Sus scrofa: one gene and its partner. The main gene of each other region encodes a partner of the protein of the gene in region 2 in a complex. Links are inferred from orthologs where the notes say so. Each region holds a gene or a part of one and is shown on either strand. Other genes may lie near its edges.

The links.
Region 1: CNOT2 (region 2) and CNOT7 share a complex: the UniProt entries of both Homo sapiens proteins name them as parts of the CCR4-NOT complex. The link is inferred for Sus scrofa from reciprocal best matches to the Homo sapiens genes CNOT2 and CNOT7.

Annotation. Positions count from the first base shown.
Region 1 is NC_010459.5:4,943,427-4,947,254, reverse strand, and holds part of CNOT7 (CCR4-NOT transcription complex subunit 7), read left to right. Parts: intron 1-1,355; coding exon 1,356-1,549; intron 1,550-3,828. UniProt on the Homo sapiens protein: Has 3'-5' poly(A) exoribonuclease activity for synthetic poly(A) RNA substrate. Its function seems to be partially redundant with that of CNOT8.
Region 2 is NC_010447.5:34,533,233-34,537,060, forward strand, and holds part of CNOT2 (CCR4-NOT transcription complex subunit 2), read left to right. Parts: intron 1-545; coding exon 546-666; intron 667-761; coding exon 762-918; intron 919-3,555; coding exon 3,556-3,617; intron 3,618-3,704; coding exon 3,705-3,754; intron 3,755-3,828. UniProt on the Homo sapiens protein: Component of the CCR4-NOT complex which is one of the major cellular mRNA deadenylases and is linked to various cellular processes including bulk mRNA degradation, miRNA-mediated repression, translational repression during translational initiation and general transcription regulation.

The DNA of each region.
Region 1 (3,828 bases), on a different chromosome or scaffold from region 2:
GATGTTGGGCCATTTTGTGGTTTGGACAATGTTTGTGCTTTTACATATGTTCAGTCATGATTACAAAGTGGCCTTGTCTGATGTTAAGAGTGTGAAATTGTTTATATTCAGCAGAAGAACCTTAGGACTTAGCTGTGAATGCCAGGTCTGCTCCAAGCAACACTAAGGCTTAATGTTAATACCAGATGGAGCTCCTGTTTGTCTTTTCTCAAACCAAAAAATTCTGATCTCCCGGTGAAGCATTGTTGATTTGCAGTTTTGTGTTTGCTTTTTAATCAGTGGATTTCCATGAACACACTGTGCTGTTAAGTGTTTCTAGTTTTGCATATACTATTCAGTCTGCCTAGACTGTCTACTCAGTTAATTATTTTGCTTCTTTGGCACTGTCTTGGTGAACCTGCTGTTTTCTAGATTATTAGCTTCAAGAAGGGATTAGTGTCTTAATCATCCTTTCTCCCCCCACCCCCAATACCTAGCCTAACACGTTGCATCCAATAAAGTGGTTGTTGAGTTGGACTGAATTTAGAAAAGTTTTAATTTCTTTACTGCTTCAGAGTAAGTTGTTATTTAGGTTTTGTTTTTAGTTTCCTAATTTGCATTTTAATATTAAACTGATGTATTATTAGTATATTGAACATAAGAAAATAAATATGCTTTTTTTGAGAGGAGCAGGTAGTTTGTTAAAATATAAATATTTGAGTGTACATAGATAATGTTTTATATAATAGATGTTCTCACCCATAATTAGAATTGAAGTTATTTTTTTCCAGTAGAAATTCATTCAGATAATTTATTTCTCAGGCGATAAGGAATGAAAAACATTAGAGATGCCATAACATTTTACAGGAATAAGTGGTGGCATGAAGTTTTTAAGGTCATGCTTTCTTTGGACTGTAAAAAGAATACTGTTTAGCACAAGAAATTAAGGTTTTGGTGTTTAGATAAACCTTATTTCAGAAAAGCAGTTGGAAAGTATGATGCATTTTCTATTCTTTTTAACCAGTTCTTCATTGATTTTAGCATTAGAATACTGTGAGCAACATGTATTTGTGATTTTTTTCCTCCTTCCTTGGGAATACTTAGTTGCATGTATTGTGTGTATCTTACACATAGTAATTTTTTTACTGATGCAGTATTTAAAGTAAGAAGTCATTTAAGTTTGGAGAGTTTTATTTTATGGTTCTAAAAAGTAATGCTCTTCCTAGTTAAAAGGTACTTTGTAATCGAATATGAATTGTGTAGAACATCACCTATATCAAGAGTCTTTGACTTGTACCCCAAATTAATTATTTTAATTATTTGTGGATTGTGCTTTCAACCATTTAGTAAATAATAAACCTTAAAATATTTTACAGGACACCGAGTTTCCAGGTGTGGTTGCAAGACCCATTGGAGAATTCAGGAGTAATGCCGACTATCAGTACCAACTATTGCGGTGTAATGTAGACTTGTTAAAGATAATTCAGCTAGGACTGACATTTATGAATGAGCAAGGAGAATACCCTCCAGGAACTTCAACTTGGCAGTTTAATTTTAAATTTAATTTGACGTAAGTGGGAAATAAATATAATTCAAACCTGTTTTAGTTTGATTTTAGAAGTGAATTTCCCTGAAATGTGACAAATGAAATTCTAATTAAATTTGGTATCGTTATCCTGGAAATACTTAAAACCTTAAATTTCACAAGGTGTTTTTGTTTTTTTGTTTTTTTTTTAAATGGGGCAAAAAAATCAGGATAAAGAAGACTTTTAAATTCTAATATTTTGAGTTTTAGAGATGTTACTTGAAAAGTACGACTGGCACTACTTTGAAATTTGGAAAATTGGGTATTGAAAGTATCAGTAGAATAAATAACCGTATCTTAATTTTGCTTTCAAACTTTGGAATTTGAAACATACATGTCTCTGTTGTAATAATTATTCTTCTTGTGAAGAGATTTTTATTATGGTCATACTTCAGTTTATGTGTAGATTACACATCAAAAGTGCTAAAATATTTTTTAGAAACTTGAGTGCCTTTTCCTTTCATATCAGTATTTTATAATGCTTATGTTTCTAGTCAGCCCATAGAACTTTTTATCAGTTATATATAGGAGGAGTAATAGTAGCCTTGAGCCTGGTATTTCTTTTAGAAACAATTCAGAATCTGAATTCTTACTCAAATCTGGATCAGAACCCAGTTTCCTTACTTATACTACTTCTATATCATTGGTAGGAGTAGTCTTGATAGTTTTGGGAAGTTTCCACTGATTGGGGGTGAGGGCAGATTGGTTACAAACTGTAAGATGGGAAATGTTTGATACATTTTGAGTATGTTACTATACTGCGCTATTCTTCTACTGCACAGCCTCTGCTTGTGTCATATGATCTAACATCTGATTTGAAAAATAGTAAAAGAAGTTGTAGGACAATGAATGGTGGTGCCATTGTAAGAACCTCCCATTCTCTGTGATGTGCTATTTAGCATATAAGATCTAAAGAAAAGCAGGGCTGATGATTTTAGATGGTCAATGGTGCAGTAGTATGGCTATGTTTAGCATGACTGTTTCACTCTGTTGGATTTAATAATGTACTTTCTGGAATTTCGTAAAGGGTACAAGGTACTCTCATCTATTCAAACTGACAGTAACTTTTATAAGTGTGTAGTTCTCAAAATTGCCTTTTCTCCTTTCCTGGAAAGATAACCCTTTTTAAGATTAGTATTCTACTATTTCCTTGGTTGCATGTTATTTTTTTTTTCAAAGTTCATCATTAGAACATTGTTCTTTACTAAGGTATTGTTGTGATCTCGGTACGTGAGTAGGAGGACACCGATCAGTGTTTTTCAGTTTTGGTTAAGTTGACATTTTTTTTTTTCTAGAAACATTTTTGTTTTAATAACTGCTTTGTTATTAAAATCTTTGAAAGATATTTTTTCTTATACAGAATACTGCTATAGTTTTGCTACCATTCATACTAACATTAATGTCTTAAGAGATGTTTAAGGATAGAGTGGAAAATATTTAACTAGAGAGGGTCAGTTGGAGGATAAAACCAGTACCATGTGATGTGGAGAAAGAACCGTGAACATGAACAGAATCTTGGATATTTCAAAGAAAGATGAAAATTGGCTTTTTCATTGATTGCCTAGACTGAATGTGTCAGCACCGGGGAACATAGTGTTGAGAAAAGTTGGTCATGGTCATTATAACCTAGTGTTATAGTTATGTCTTCTGTTTTCTTTTGCCCAAGTCCAAGAATTAGAATTGGTAGGTCCAGATCAGTGTTTGGGAATTCACTGTAAACTGGATTTGAAGTTGATATGTACATGAAAATTGAAGTAGAATATGATATCTGATGGTGAAACCCAGAGGTTTTTCTCTTGAGATTGTGACTTAAATGGTCCAGGTGTGGGACTTGGGAATCCATATTTTGCTAAGTTCTCTGAATGTTGGTTATCATTGGGCAAGTTTGGGAAATACTGGTTTAAATAATATGATACTCCCTGGTGACATAACATTGAACAAAACAGACAAAAATCATTGCCCTCTTGTAGCTTAAATTCTTATTTAAGTTTAGATATCCTAGCTTGACTTTTGAAAGGTAGTCTTCTAGGAATAAGGTTAGGAGAGCAGAGTTATTCTAGCAGAGTTCTTCATTTTAAGCAGTTTACTGTTTATCGGGGCCATTTGAAAGGCTCATCGTTAGAGGAGGCATCTCCTTTTTATTTAAGATAGAATGTAGTTTCACTCAGTCACATCAGATGCTTCGCATTTGGTCTTCTTCCTGGTACTGCTGAGAGCCTGGGAGTTGGACCCAGGCCCTCACCCCTGTGGCTGCGGCTCCATTT
Region 2 (3,828 bases):
TTTTATGTGTGTGTGTGATGGGAGTTTGTATATTTTTTTTTAAATAATTGATGAAGATTATTGGGTAAGAATTAAAATAAGTAAGAATTTTAAAAGTTCACATATTCTAACTTATCTTGGAGGTGTTTTATGGTAATATTTTAGGTAATGTACTGTGTTTTATATTTAGTTTATCTTCTGAATGAAGTATTGAGGAATGTAACCTCAAATGTACCCCAAAACATAAAGTTCTGAGATAGGTAGGGTTTTTTGTTTTGTTTTGTTTTGTTTTTTTTAAATCTGTGACTGAAAAGCTGAGATCAATATTTTTCATGTATTTCTTTAAATACTCAGATGTATGTAATACAGGATTTATTTGTATATCATGGGACATTTGTGGAAACACAAATTTCATGTAGAACAAAAATTTCATGTACTTGAAAAACAGGTAATAATTTACTACCAATTAAGTGTAATATAAAATGAATAGAAAGCTACTAATATATGAACTTGAAATGTTTATACCTAACAAATTTTAATGTCACATTTAATTTTTTTCGTGGTAGAATTTGAATACATCTGGCAAGACAAGTTCAAGTACAGATGGACCCAAATTCCCTGGAGATAAAAGTTCAACAACACAAAATAACAACCAGCAGAAAAAAGGGATCCAGGTGTTACCTGATGGTGGGACTCTATAAAATAATATCAAAGATACTATAGAATTCATATTTTTTACTTTTTCCTCAAAGATTAAAAATGACTATGTTTTTCTCATTCAGGTCGGGTTACTAACATTCCTCAAGGTATGGTGACGGACCAATTTGGAATGATTGGCCTGTTAACATTTATCAGGGCAGCAGAGACAGACCCAGGAATGGTACATCTTGCATTAGGAAGTGACTTAACAACATTAGGCCTCAATCTGAACTCTCCTGAGTAAGTTTTTTTCTTTTCTTCCACCTTTGTATATAATACCTCCCTGCATTTTTAAATTTTGTGTCATCAAATTACATTCTCTGCTGTCACTCATTGTTGCTGGTATCTACTGACTCTTGAATCATTCCTTCTATATTAGCTTCTAGATCATTCTCTCTTTATATTAATATTCCTCTTATCATTTGGCAGTTTCAGTATACATCCTTCCCAAATCCTAAAATCCTAGCTCCTTGAATTTCTCTTCTGCAGAACTCTTTCCCTGCATCATACCTCAGCTGCTCATTTCTTTGGTCATCCTTTTGACTTTGGCATTATTGGTAACCTCCCTTTCTCTGTGAGGTAATTAAATCTGTGCTACCATGTCACTTCTTGTTTCCATTTCTCTCCCTCAACTACTGGCTCCTATAATCATTAGATTCCACTGGGACCTTCAACCCATTGATTCTTCTACTTTCTAATGTTCCTCAGCATTCTTATGTCTCGTTCCCTTTGACCAACTCACTTCCTTCTCCAGTTAACTTCTGTGGTCAGTCATAATTTCTCATTTATATAAATCCCTGACTGCTCTGTCCCCTCTTGCTTTGTCATACCTGCATGGCAAAAACTTCAACTCGGTTATGTATCTGCTGATTCCATCCTTAGCCTGTGCTACTGAGCCTGGTTAGAGAAAAATTCACAACTTCACTGCTTGGTCTCATTTCACATTCATATCTGGGAACCCCAAGAATGGGCCCTTAATTCTGCCAACCATAATCAATGGACTGGCATGCCTAGTCCATTCATTCTTTTGTTCTCCCGTGCAGCTGTTTTACACTTGCCTCTTCAAACCCTGAGTGCTTTTCCCCCTGTGCTTACTTGCCAGGTAGTGAGTGACTTTGCTTTTTATTTCTACTTTACTAAGAAAGAAAGATGGAAACAATCAGAAGAGTGTCAGTATTGTCCTGCCTCAAAATCAGTTGCCTACAAATCATCTGCACCCACCTTACTCTTGTCTTCCACCCTGTTGTAGCCATGCTTTCTACTTAAAACCTCTCTTGAAAACTCAAAGAATCTAGTAATTGTTTGCATTTTGTTGAATTATTTCCATCAGCATACAAATACGCTGTTACTATGTTAACAAATATCTTCTCTTGATTCAGCTTATTCTACAAGTTATCACTCCCCCATTTATTCTCCTCTGAAGCAAAACTCTTCAAAAGAGCCATCTTTGTATCCTATTTGTCCTATTCTCTGTTAAACCCATTTCAGTTAGGATTTTGCCCTCATCAATTAAAACTGCTTTCTTCAAAGTCATCAAATGACCTCTGTTACTAGTTCAGCAGTCACTCTGGCAGCTAATCTTCTCTAACCAATCCGTAATGTTTGGCATAGTATAATCATCATTGCTGCATTGTTTTTTGCTGCTTTTGACTGCTCCCACCCTGGTTTAAATCACCATCTTTTTTTGTCTGGAGTCTCTCCTTGCCCTTTATAATCTTTGGTTCACATGGCAGCCAAGACAGTCTTTTTGTTTGTTTGGTTGGTTGGTTGTTTTTGTCTTTTTAGGGCCACACATGTGGCATATGGAGATTGCCAGGATAGGGGTCTAATTGGAGCTGTAGCCGCCAGCCTATGCAACAGCTACAGCAACGCCAGATCCTAGCTATGTCTGCAACCTACACCACAGCTCACAGCAACACTGGATCCTTAACCTACTGATGGAGGCCAGGGATTGAACCTGAAACCCCATGGTTCCCAGTTGGATTCATTTCCACTGTGCCACAACGGGAACTCTGAAGACAGTCCTTTTTGAATAAGTTAATTCTCTGCCCAATACTTAGTAAGGGTTTGTTGTTTTATTATGATTAAAACCCCCAAATCTTTATAGGCCTCCTAATCTCTACAGGGATGATCTGTGTCTCTTCTACCTATACCTCAACAGCTTGTCCCTTTTTTCACCCTGTTCCATCTTCAGTGGCCTTCCTGCTCTATACCTCATACATGTCAGTCATAACTGCATTGATTGCTTTAGCAGTTCCCTCTGACTAGAGTTATCTTCTGCCAAGTAACTAATAGTTATCTCCCTCATATCCTTCAGATCTTTGGTCACACATGACCTTCTAAATGAGACCTATCCTGACTACCCTATTTAATTATGCAAATAATCTTCCCTCCCTACCCCACCACTAACATGGAATATTATTTATATATTATGTAAATTGTTTTTGACTGCCTCCTTCCCAATCCACCATCCTCAACCAGAAAGTTTCATGTTATCAGTGATCTTTGTTGTGTTTGCTGATGTATAAGCACCTAGAACAGTGCCAGAAATATAATAGTAAATATTTGCTGATTTTGAACTTTTGTTTTTAATAATTACTGTTTTCTTTTTTCCTGGCCATATAAATAAGAAAGTAATTTTACTTGAGGGCATGGTGTTAATGAATTTAAAGCATTCTGAGTTGAGGTAATTGGGGGGGGGGGCCTTATTTCAATTTTCTGCTATGTAAGTCATAGTAAAAACAAAAAAAAATTAGAAGTTTAAAATATGCACATTTTACATTTGAAGTCATTATTTTTCCTGATTTCCTGAAATAAAATTAGATATCTTTTTTTCTACTTTGGACTTCAGAATGGTTTTTTTTTCCCCTTATTCAGAAATCTCTACCCCAAATTTGCATCACCCTGGGCATCTTCACCTTGTCGACCTCAAGACATAGGTAGGAAAATCTATTTGTTCATACCTTTTAAAAATGTATTTGTAACTGAGAATCAGTTAATAAGGCTTTTTTCATTTTATTATCCAGACTTCCATGTTCCATCTGAATACTTAACGAACATTCACATTAGGGATAAGGTGAGTATAGTTCATTATTCTACTCGGTCAGCATGAATTTGTCTATTTTCAGATGTTGTTTTTCAGTTTAGACA